Linked DNA regions of Rattus norvegicus. The protein of the gene in region 1 interacts with the protein of each later gene in a pairwise test. Links are inferred from orthologs where the notes say so. Each region holds a gene or a part of one and is shown on either strand. Other genes may lie near its edges.

The links.
Region 2: the proteins of Akap9 (region 1) and Pkn1 interact in a two-hybrid assay, tested with the Homo sapiens proteins (2 studies listed by BioGRID). The link is inferred for Rattus norvegicus from reciprocal best matches to the Homo sapiens genes AKAP9 and PKN1.
Region 3: the proteins of Akap9 (region 1) and C5h1orf94 interact in binary tests that used the Homo sapiens proteins (3 or more experiments, as listed by UniProt). The two-hybrid records come from large-scale screens. The link is inferred for Rattus norvegicus from reciprocal best matches to the Homo sapiens genes AKAP9 and C1orf94.

The regions. Positions count from the first base shown.
Region 1 is NC_086022.1:31,144,507-31,148,878, reverse strand, and holds the start of Akap9 (A-kinase anchor protein 9), read left to right. Parts: upstream 1-1,540; 5' UTR 1,541-1,789; coding exon 1,790-1,837; intron 1,838-2,457; exon of another isoform or gene 2,458-4,372. UniProt on the Homo sapiens protein: Scaffolding protein that assembles several protein kinases and phosphatases on the centrosome and Golgi apparatus. Required to maintain the integrity of the Golgi apparatus. Required for microtubule nucleation at the cis-side of the Golgi apparatus.
Region 2 is NC_086037.1:41,363,769-41,367,363, forward strand, and holds part of Pkn1 (serine/threonine-protein kinase N1), read left to right. Parts: intron 1-166; coding exon 167-276; intron 277-361; coding exon 362-505; intron 506-3,410; coding exon 3,411-3,486; intron 3,487-3,569; coding exon 3,570-3,595. UniProt on the Homo sapiens protein: PKC-related serine/threonine-protein kinase involved in various processes such as regulation of the intermediate filaments of the actin cytoskeleton, cell migration, tumor cell invasion and transcription regulation.
Region 3 is NC_086023.1:145,607,437-145,611,649, reverse strand, and holds the start of C5h1orf94 (uncharacterized protein C1orf94 homolog), read left to right. Parts: upstream 1-1,355; 5' UTR 1,356-1,502; coding exon 1,503-1,816; intron 1,817-4,213.

The DNA.
Region 1 (4,372 bases):
TCATTTAGATTATAGGCCACTTTAACTGATTATGGGTTTGTTTTATGTTATTATTTCAAAGGACTTTTCATTTCGAAACTTACTTTATTGAACACATTTTATACATATATACTTAGTCCTTTAAAACCCCACTGTTGGGGCTGCAGGGATGGCTCAGTAGGGAAAGGGACTGCCCCACACGTGTGAGGAACAGAGTTTGCATCCTGGGCACGCTAATGCTGAACAGGCACAGCAACGTGTGCCCCGCAAGCTCAAGAGACAGAGATGGGTAGGACCTGTGAAGCAGGCTAGCTAGCTAGATTAGCTAATTTGTCAAGGTCTTAGTCCAGCAAGGGACCCCTACCTCAATATACTTTTTAAAAGTGACCAAGGAAGACTTCATGCCACCCTCCACCCCCCAGAAGCACATGAATGCATGACTTCCACATGTGTAAACATACATGGACATTTGCAGTCAAACTACACACAAAAGAGCCGGTGTAAATCCTGATGCTAATTTTGTTGTTCGGAGACCATAGCCCAGCTAAAGGAAAAAGACTCAAATTTGAGGGCTTGACATCAGCACCTTTCCTTACCCATCCATGGAAATTTGTCAAGTGATTTAACCACTCAAGCCTTGTTTCTTATTCTATAAAAGGAGGTATACAAATCAATATACTTTTCCTTTTGTTTGAATTTGTGAATAAATGACATGGAGACACGATTGAACAGGTATCAAATGTCCATGGGGGAGGAAAGATGGTAATAATCAAACTATAAGCACAGCCCAATTAAATGTAACAAAGTTTATTGAGCATAGTCTTTCACACTAGCCATTTCAAGTAAAGAAATAGAAAGGACAAAGGTTCGGGCGTTTTCACACACCAGAACAGTCATAAATATTAAACAGCTCGTCCAAAAACTCCAGGTAAAGTCAGAGAAGCATATCTGTTTTAAGGTCATTAATGTTACAAAGTTAGCGTAGCCCCTTTTGCTTGGAAACCCTTTTTCTAGCTCTTTACTCTGAGGCAATGTCTACCTCAGAGGTGAAGGGGAGAGGGGTAAATCTGGAGGGGTCATGGTGAAGGGGGGCTGGGAGGAGAGGGGGGTTGAGGTCAGGATGTAAAGTGAATAAATGAATGAATGGGAGGTGGGGGGGGGGAGGGAAAGTTGGGGTAGACTGGCTTTGTTCCCAACTTAGATTCCAAATTCGAGTTCCTTAGGAGAAGCCCCTAGGAGTGTCTCAGCTTCACTCCAAAGAACAAAGAGTTGGGAGAAGGCTTTGGCAATAGACTGTTCTTCCAGCGCGCCGCGAAGGATGAAGACTATGGGTTGAGAGGGAACAAGAGGGGGAAGTGAGGGCGGGATTTGGGGTTAGGGAAAGAGCAGGGGGCCCTCCGGCTTCCCCGGGTTGGGGGTCCCGCCCTCGCCCCTTCCACTGCGGCTTCTCGTTATGAGGCCGCTGTTGCTTTTGCATTTGGAAATGCAGTACGGCGTGTTACGCGAACTGAATCCCGGGAGGAGTGGGTGTCAGGCCGCCGGACCCTGAGCCCTCCGACCCGGTCCAGCCGGGCGGGCACAAGCACCTGCCGGGCCACGCTCGCGGCTGCGCCGACCGCCCGCTCCGCCCCGCCGGCCGCCGTGTGTTTACGTGGAGACGAAGATGGCGGCGGTGACCGCGGGGCCCGTGCAGCCTGGCGCGAGTCGCCGGTGAGCGCCTAGCGTGTCCCGAGTGGCCGCCGAGCTCTGTCCGCCTCTTTCTAAACAGATCTTTCCTCTCCACTGCGTCCCAGCCTACCCTGCAGACGCCATGGAGGACGAGGAGAGGCAAAGGAAGCTGGCAGCTGGCAAGGCGAAGGTAGGAGCGCAGCGGACGCGGGCCGCGTCGGGAGGCGGTGACCCGGGGCGGGGGCTGGGGGAGAGGCCCGGCAGCGGGGCTGGGGCTGGGGCTGGGGCTGGGGCTGGGGCTGGGGCTGGGGTTGGGGTTGGGGCTGGGGCTTTGGGGCTGGGGCTGGGGCTGGGGCTGGGGCTGGGGCTGGGGCTGGGGCTGGGGCTGGGGCTGGGGCTGGGGCTGAAGAGCCGCCCCCTCTTGCTGCTGGTGGAGACCTGATGACTGCACCGCCCGGCTCCCTTCTCCCCGGTGCCACACAAACCCCTCTCTTACCCCGGGTATAAACTGCTAAGGAATTGCTTTGCAGCATCCACCCTTTCACTTTCTAAAGGGAGTTTGGGGAGTCGATCAGGCATTGTGCTTTCGGGAGCGAGTGTTTAGGGTTTTCTTTATTCCGGGAACACCCCTGAGCTGACCATCAGCCTGCCTCCTTGAGGTGTCACGCTGGCACTCTTGGGTGTGTGTGATTGGCCTGTGACAGCTGCCTCGGCAGTGTCTTGAGTGTGCCACAAGTGCCATCTGCGAACTTGGCTGTAGGGGCGTTTTTTAAGAAGCGGTTCTTTGTATATTCGTGTTGGAGGTCTTTGTCATGGCACGCGCTTTTGTAGTGCGTGGAATGGAACTTCGGAGCATCTAAGGTTCCATAAACTAAACAACACCTATAGAATTGGTGTTTTTAAATAATGCACTTGTTATTATGTATTTGGTAAGTTTGATTTTTGTGTGGGCATGCGTGTATGGCAAGTCATGTAAACAATCTAGGCTAATATGTAGGTGTCTTTCAGTGGGCTTATTAAATAATTTGACACCGTTATGAATGGAATAGAATGATTTCTTTCTAAAATTACCTGGTTGAGCTTACCGTTGACCTCCTTGCTCCCTAAAATGAAGTTACCTTTAAGATATTATATTGTATTTTTTAGAATTGTTAGCAGTATGTATGTGTGTATATATATATATATATATATATATATATGGATAATTAAGTTATATTTTTCCTATTGTACTTGCTGGTTCTATGTCAACTTGACACAAGCTAGAGTCCTCAGAGAGGAGGGAAACTTAATTGAGAAAATGCCTTTTTAAGATCAGGCTGTAGACAAGCCCTTAGGGCATTTCCTTACTGATTGATAGGGGAGGGCCCAGCCCATTGTGGGTATTGCCAGTCTGGGCTGGTGGTCCTGAATTCTATAAGAAAGCAGGCTGAGCAAGTCAGTAAGCAGCACCTCTCCATGCATCAGCTTCTCCGTTCAGGTTCCTGTCCCGTTTGAGTTCTTTTCTTGACTTCCTTTAATGATGAACCCTGATATGGAAACGCAATAAGCCAAATGAACCCCTTTCCTCTCCAGATTGCTTTGGTCATGATTTCTCACCATAGCAATAGGAACCCTAACCAAGACACCTACCTTCCTTTTTTCTTCTCTCACATCATTAACAAAGGAAGCAAGCCAGTAATGAATGAAGGGCCCTACTGGAGAGATACAGTGGTACATGCTTAACACTACTTTGTTAAAGGAGTATGCAAATCGCTAACCTTGTATTTCTAGAGTATAGTTAGTTGACTTTCCCATAAGCACCTCTGTGTGAGGTCAAGATTTAAGTGTGTCTGTGTAGCATCTCTAAATGGAGGGAAAAAGCCCAGGTTTGCTTCCTGTTGTGCACCCTGAGGAACTGACTGGGCCCAGCGCATTGAGGAATTGGAGGTGTGCATTCCTTTCCAAACATCGAGGCTCTGAGGAGAGAGCAGTCCCCCCCCCCGCCCCCACCTTTTTTAGCAGAATCTTAGACTATAGTCCAGCTGAGCCTAGAGTTCAATGTGTAGTCCAGACTGGCTGACTTCAGACTCAGTGGCAATCCTGTGTTAGCCTCCAAAGTGCTAGAATTATGTGTGTGAGCTTCTGTGTCTAGGTAAGATATATGTCTTATTGACTACTTCATGATTTCTACTGCCTTTCCTAAAAACATTCTGTACTAAATATGTGTGGGGCCCACCTTCACTAGACCTGTTTTTATGATTAAATTGCTGTCAATAAATACCTGATTGATCTTTAAAAGAGGATTTGAATTTGGCTCCTATGCATGTTTCTTTGTCTTCCAACGTTCTGTCTCTGTGGGGTGGGGGAGACGATTGATTCACTGTGTGAACTTCTTGCTGTACATGCATGAGTACCAGGGTTCAAATTTCCAGCACCCACATAGAGCCGGACGTGGTGGCATGCATCTGTAACCCAGTGCCTGGGAGACAGTGACAGACAGACCCCTGGGACTTCCTGTCCGGTCTTCTAGCCAAAATACCAAGCTTGAGTTCATTTGGACCCTGTCTCCAAAATATATGTATGGTAGAAAGTAATAAAGGACACCAGCCTCTGACTTCTACAAGCACAGGCATATGCTCCCACACATGATACACCTCTAGGGACACAGCCTCTCTCTCAAAATTAATTTTATCTAAAATACTACTTTGTTCTAGAATCGAGCCTATTCTTCCCAGTGAGGGTTACA
Region 2 (3,595 bases), on another chromosome or scaffold:
CAAAAAAACAACAACACACAAACAAGCAACCTCCTTCCCTAAACCCACAGTCGAATTAAAGGCTTTAGTGTGAAAGGCAAGTTAGCAGAGCGTCCAGGAGGGCCTCTGACAGGATTAGGAGCAAGCCCTCCCCTCCCTCTTTCCTGCTGCCCTCTCCTGGTTTCAGCTGAGGTCAGCACCGTGCTCAAGCTGGACAACACTGTGGTGGGGCAAACAGCCTGGAAGCCATGCGGCCCCAATGCCTGGGACCAGAGCTTCACCCTGGAGCTGGAGAGGGTGAGCTGTGCATGGGGGCACCGGGCAGTAGAAGAAGGGGAGTTGAGGCATCAGACACAGGAAGTGATGACCGTTTTTCCTCAAGGCTCGGGAGCTGGAGTTGGCTGTGTTCTGGCGTGACCAGAGGGGTCTGTGTGCTCTCAAATTTCTGAAGTTGGAAGACTTCTTGGACAATGAGAGGCATGAGGTGCAGCTGGACATGGAACCCCAGGGCTGCCTGGTGGCTGAGGTATGGCCTGGTTTCTGACTTCTGACCCTAAGATGTTTCCTGCCTCCTTGCCTCTGATTGTCTAGTATGGGGGAGATTAATTTCAGATGCTTCTGAGCCTTAATGGGAAGTAAGTTTCATGAAAGCTGGGATTGGTGCCAGGAGCCACACATCACACAGGAGGAAGAACCAGCAGTGACAGACCACATACGTGACAGTGCTCCCAGAAGGCTGTGCCTGTCAGTTGTGTGTTGGTCTGGTGATAGGTAGGGCCCAATGGGTAAAGTGCTAGCCTAGCATGCACAAAGCCATGGGCCAAATTGTTACTTCAGATAAAACTAGGCGTGGGTACTGGAGAGATGGCTCAGCAATTAAGAGCACTGTCTGCTCTTCCCAGAGGACCCATATTTGATTCTCAGCTCCTACATGGCCACTTAGAGCTGTCTGTAACTCCAGTTCTGGGGGATCTGACACCCTCTTTTGGCCTCAGTCACTAGGTTCACATGTATTACACAGATATACATGAAGGCAAAACACCCACATACATTAAGCAAGCAAACATGAAAGCTAGATGTCATACAGCCTTAAGCCACATGATGAGCAAGAGACAGGAATATAAAGACTTACCAAAAAACACAGCCAAAGCTGAGTGAGCTTTAATCCCACAGTGTGGGAGCAGAGGCAAGCAGACTTCTGAGTTTGTGTCCCAGGCCAGTCAGGTCTATAGAGAGCCCCTGTCTGAAAAATAGAAGAACAAGCCAGGAACATTTTCTGCCACTGCAGTCTAGTGAGGCCTGCCTCAGAAAAGCAAGCACTGGGTGAGCCTTGTGTGGTGTGCTGGGCTCACGCCCTCAAAGTTTCATCCCCAGCATCGCACGGCAGCAACAACCAACCCAACTGGAGGTGGGTGCTGGTGGGAACCTCACAGCAAGGGGTGGCTGCAGCTGACAGACTCTCCCAGAGTGCTGTTGTCACTGAGCCCACCATGTCGAGTTCTACCATGGATAGAATGTTCTGTCTGAACTGTAGCTGGTGTAGCTGGAAAGCAGAGTTTTTCCCACTGACGTTTTGAGTGATTTAAATTTGATCTGCACACATGGCACCTGCACAGGAACATCTGGGTCTAGAGACCAGCGCCTGCTGAGTTGGACTTGGAGGACTAGGCTAAGTTATCCTGGGATTCGCACATGGGCAGCCCCATCACCCCCAAAGGGCCAGGTTCCATCCCTCTTGGCGCTGATGCAGTCTGAGATAGGGGTCTGAGAGTGTATCTCTCAGGTCCCAGGTAAGCAAAGCATCTTTCTGTCACTGTGACAAATGCCTGAAATAATCAGAAAGAGAAAGGGTTATTTTGGCCCAGGGGCTCTGCCCATGGCCCCTTAGTTCAAGTGGAGGAGGCATGTGTACCCAACGGAATACAGAAGCAAAGAGAGACACAGGAAGGGGCTAGGCTCCCAATATCCTGTATGTGGACGTACTCCAGTGACCTCACTTCCTCCCACTAGGACCTGCCTCTAATGGTCACACCACCTCCTAAATAGAGCCATAGGTTTGTGACAAAGTCTTCCATACACAGGGCCAATTTAACAGCCATGCCAGATGATGCCATTGTGGCCAACCTGCCACTATACTTGGGAATCAAGTCAGGTGATGGCAGACTTGTTTTCCAGACTTCCATGTCAGTCTTGTGGGCATAGATGACTCCTTTCCCTTCAGAGAAGGGTCTGATTGCCTGCGTCCTCCCTTTTCAAGATGGAAGCCTGTCTCGGTTTGAATATGAAGGTTCCTGTCTTAGGTGTTTTTCCTGCGACTGTAGTAAAGTTCCCTAGCAAAAGTTTTAAGGAAAAGAGGGTTTCTTTTGGCTCAGAGTCCACCGTGAAGGGCAAGTCAAGCAGTCACACTGCATAGGAAGTGAGGTCAGGAAGCAGAGTGGTGAATGCCTGGTGCTCAACTTGCTTTCTCCTGTCCATACTGTCCAGGACCCCCGCCTAGGGAAAGGTGCCTCTCATAGCTTTGGTGGGTCTTCCCCAACAGACATGACTACCATAGGTAATCCCTCACAAGTGTGCCGAGAGGCTGGTCTAGGTTATTCTAGTCAACTTGACAACCAACTTTAACTATTTCAGTCCCCATGAAGACGCCTGTGTTTGAACACTTGTCCCCAGCTGGTGCTCTTTTGAGAGGTAATAGAACTCCGAGGAGGTGGAGCCTCACTGAGAGAAATGTCACTAGGGTTATCGTTAGGCCCTAGTCCTGCTGCTTTCTGTTCTTTGGCCATCTGAGATGTACCTGGGCTTCAGTCGTCTGCCACTGTGGACCCCACTGCCGGTGCTGCCGTGTCCTCCTTCTGTGACGGACTATATCCCCTCAGCTATGCCCAGCTTAGAGCTCCCCCTGCAGTTGTTTCTGTCAGGTCCTCTGTCACAGTGAGGAGAACACAGACAGCACTGAGGGCAGACAGTGAGCGCGCTGACCACCTCTCCCTGCTCACCAGCACTCTGTTACGTGACAAAATACTTGGGAGAGATAAAGGAAGCAGGGTTCTCTGGGTTCATGGTTTCCAGGCAGCAGCCGTTCATCCTGTTGCTTCTGGGCTTGTGATGAAGCACTCTGTGGAGTCGAGCTGCTCATGTGCTGACAGGAGACAGAAGGAGGATGAGGGAGTAGGTCTGGCAGCTAGAGACCTGCTTCTTTTAATGACACCCCTCCTTGTGAAGTCCCCTGCTCCCCAACGGTCTATCAAGCTCTGAAGCCATCACTGGGTGAATCCATGAGTGAAGTCCTTGACCCTTCTGTGCATAGCCACTGTCAAAGGCTTAGCTTTGCACGGCTGCTAGGCCAAGCCACGCGTCCTCAGGGACGCTTGGTGTCATAGGTTGTGGTGCATCTGTTCCTGCCACCACTGCAGCTGAGCATGTCCCCACAGGTCACCTTCCGTAACCCCATCATCGAGCGGATCCCTAGGCTCCAAAGGCAGAAAAAAATTTTCTCCAAGCAGCAAGGTAAGGAGGCCCTGAGTGAGCTGGGCTGGACAGCCAAGGACCCCAGGATGTCATGGGTGGTGACCCTACCCTTGCAACTTCAGGGCAGACATTTCAGCGTGCCAGACAG
Region 3 (4,213 bases), on another chromosome or scaffold:
TGTTTCTTCCTCCACCTCCTACTGGTTCTTCCCTGGGTGGACCCTTGGAGGAGTAACCACTGTTTTCGGGGACCAGGGAATGCTCGTCAAGTTCACGCTTTTTCAAAGGTGAAGCTTCTATGTGGAGGGGCTTAGGGGCGACGATCGCAGTCCGCACCGATATCAAAGGGTGCGACTTTTTCTCCCACCTCCGCCTGCCTCCCTGTCTCAGTGTTGGGGTTAGCTTGGGAGCCAAGGGCATTAGATCATGTCGAGTCCGAGCTTTGAATTCTAGCCTTGCTTCTTGAACTCAGGACACAACCATTTGCAACTTAGAGATTCAGCTTCCTTCCATCGTGTCCGCCGAATAAAAAGTAGTACAAACTAATGAGGGTGAACAGGATCAGGTTTAAAGTTAGCTCTTGGCATTCGGTGCTCCTGTGGGATGGCAGTTAGGATTAAAGCCAGTGGGGAAAGGGGACAGGTCCCCCACCTCTAGGCAACCTCTGAAGTTTGTATGTAGTGGTGGGATGGGAACAGTGTTTCACTTTGACTTACTTCTAAGAGGAAGCTCCCTGGGGTCTTTCCAGTCCCACCCCGCCCCCATTCCACCTGCGAGTCTCAGGGACGAACGCCCGGCCCGTGCCCCACCCCCGCGCACCCAGCCGTTGCGCTTGAACCCACTGAAAGAATCCCAGCTCTCGACGGCAGGGGTGTGGGAGCTACTGACACGCAAATCCGCTGACCCCGCCCGGGCCTGCCCTGCCCAATCGGCGGCCTTTTAAGGGTTGGGATCCTCTGCGGTGCGGGTCGCAGCTCTGCGCGGGGGACGCGACAAGTGTCCGCTGAGGACCTGGGCCAGGCCGACTACCGGCACAATACCGCATTGGACATTTCTTTTTTAGGGAGGCAGAGCAGCTGCAGCAGAGAGAGAAGGGGAAGCAGAAGGGGGCGACCGGGAGAGCTAAAGCCAGGACCTGCAGTAGGCGGGTGGGGGGCCCTCTGTGTACGCGGGATCCTTTGGGAAGGTGGGAGGAGACAGTCCCATGGCCGGCACCCACCCAGTCTAGTACAGTGCTCGGCCTTTACCCTGCCCTTCTGGTGACTTGGCAGGAGAGAATGGGCTGAGTCCCAGACCCTGAAAAGTCTCACAGGGGTGTCGTAACGGGGGAGTGCCGGGTCCTGTGGGGAGAGCCAGTCCTCCCCTCTAGTCGTTCCCAGATGTCATTCTGCCCGCCCAGGCGCTTGGTTCCTGAGTTCCGGGGCATTCCACGGTTACTAAGTTACTGGTTTTTGTTGACTTTTAAATATTTTCTTCTACGGGAGAGGGGGAGGGGGGCAAAAGCCAGGAAAGAGCAAATAAAAAGAAGTCAACATAAGCCCCCCCTCCCCAAAAGAAAGTTGCCCTCTACTCCTCATCCTCACCCAAACCGAAGGCCTCTGAAACCCATCCCTTGGCTGGAGCAACAGCCAGCCAGAACTGACTACTTCCCAGGTCCAGTCTTCAGCTCCCTTTCTGGTGAATGAGGGCTGGTGGAGGACAGTCCCTTTGTCTCCCAGCCCTGGGCGGACAAAGGGGCTTCCGAAAAGAGAGAAAGAGGATGGCCAGTGGAAATGGGCTCCCTCCATCCTCAGCCCTGGTGGCCAAGCGTCCCTCCGCCCTGGGGCCATTCCCCAGATATGTCTGGATCCACCAGGACACACCCCAGGATAGCCTAGACAAGATTTGCCATGACATCTGGAAGAGAGTTCAGGGCTTGCCTGAGTCCCTGCAGCCCAGGACCTCTCTGGAGAAGCTCTCTGCCCCGGTGACAGCCGCTGTCAGCTTCCAAGACGAGTGAGTAATCCCCTATTTGGTTGATTATCAAAGGCGGGGGGAATGAAGTCTGACTTTAGGTCGAAATGCTCTGGGCCAGTGTTAAGTCCTACACACATCTCTCCCCCAAGCCTCAACCCTCAACCCCGTTTCTGTAATCTGAAAAATCTTTCGGTTGGAGGAGCTGGCCAAGGTCCTGAAGTCCCAGATGCAAGGAAAGAAGCCATTTCTGGCAGCTTCTTTTCCAGTGACTAAGGAGAAGTTTCTTATTTTAAAGACATAGGTGGCTATGATGTAGATCTGGGGTCCCTGAAGATCTAAGGGTTAGGTGACTCATGACTGTCCCCAGAAGCAACTAGATGATCTTTTCCCCTATCCCAAGAAAAGTCCAGGCATTGGCACAGATGATTCTGGTGGTTGGAAACCACATCTGGAATCCCCTAATACAGAGAGCAGCTGTCCCATTCAGCATCCACAGAGCTACTGCAAGAGCGCACATCAAAATATTTACTGGGAAGGCATTGACATATTCAGAGGACATAATAGAAAATTAAAGTGTGGGAAGATGGCTGTAAATAGCCGGTTTCCCGGATGGGAAATCCCCTGTCGGGGAAGCACAGAGCTAAGTGTTTCAGTGCTAGGGAAAAGTTGAGGGGATAGCGTTGGGGCTGGCTATTGGAAAGAAGAGGAAGGAGCAGAGAGGAAGACAGGGATCTCATTAGGAAAAGGACTGCATCAGCTGTGGTGATTAATGCCACTGCAGAGTACTCTTTCAGGGTTCTGCATCTCCAAAGTGGGCTGCTCGCATTAATTAATCCTCCCGGCATCCCTATGAAACAGGTATTAGTGTCCCCATTTTACAGATGGATTAAGTGTTAATAATTAAGTGCTAATTAAAGCCTAAGTGATAATTAAATGTTGTCTGCCCCCAACACATGCTCCAACTCAGTTCATAGATGCTCCGGAGTGTGTGTGTAGGGGGCGGGGTGCATCCCGGCATTCATCAGCCGCCTCTGGTTTCAGGGCTCTCTAAGCATAGCTGAGGTGAAAAGCAATGTAGTGCTGCAGTCCCTATGCAAGCTCCTTTGCTTGCTGGAGATGAAGGCGGGAGGCATGCTGGCTGCTTCTACCTCCCCTGCCCTGTGCTCAGCAGGACCAGGCTCCGATGCAAACGGCCTTGCTCCATCCAGAATCCTGTGGCGAGTCCGTTCAGTGGCTCTGAGCTCCTTTGCCTCACCCATTGCCATCTGCTCCAGGACAAGCACCTTGGCACGGGGAACCTTGGGGCTGCACTCAGCTCTCTCAGTGGCCAAGTAGCTGATTGTCCACTTTCGGGATCAAAGGTCAGCAGCAATTTCCAGTAGATAGCCCCTTCCCTGCCAGGTCACACTGAATTCGTGGAGACAGACTCTACTTCCAGTCTGCAGTTGGCCGGAAATTGAACCGGCCTACCTTTGGCTCATTACTTCACTCCATTTGGCCTTGATTTCCTCATCTGCAAATTAAGGACGACGTGCCCTGCCTTGTCCACCTCAGAGTCGATAACGAGGGTCCAATGTGATGGGAAACTAAGAAAATGAAAGATGCATTATACAAACAAGGCCGCCTTAATATGTAGCTCGTCGAGTTTGGGGGAGGGGAGGCTTCACAGCTCCATGATCCAAGGAGCCTTCAGACAGCCATCCTGGAGTCAAGTGGGCTCCTACACACACACTCTACACACATACACACACCACACACACACTACCCACACACACTACACACACATACACACTACACACACATACACACTACACACACATACACACTACACACACATACACACTACACACACACTACACACACATACACACACTACACACACACCACACACACACACTTCAGCCTGAGCTCTTCAGGTGTTGGTCCGCTTTACTCACTGGAGTTCTGAGTACAGTTGCGATTGAAGGAGTTCTGAGGCTGAGAGGAGACCTGGGAATCTGCTGACTTAGATGAATAAGCCTCATCCTAACTGTATAGCTGTCCGCCCAGCAGAACACAATGAGCGAGGCAGCGAGCGCCGGAGTTGGATAACCAGGTTCGGCAGTGTGTGTGCCTCTGTAGAACCTGTGACTGCGAGGCTGATCTGAGCTTTGGTTTCCTCACTGCCATGGGGGAGTGACGGTAGGGGTCGCTGGAGGTGACAAATCAGGACTATTCAATGGTCCTGCTGGTAATTAGGATTGATAAACTCGTTCTAAGGACAGCAGTTATAATTTCTGTAAACCCTGCAGTCTTTGCATGAGGCAGTGAAGGTCCAAGTGTGTGTAGATGTAAATTTCCATAATTATCAAACTGTGCTGTTCTGGTTTAAATTGCTCCTCTCCCCCCCCACCCCTTTAAATGAAATCCAATCTCGTTTGTTTGTTTGTTTTCTTG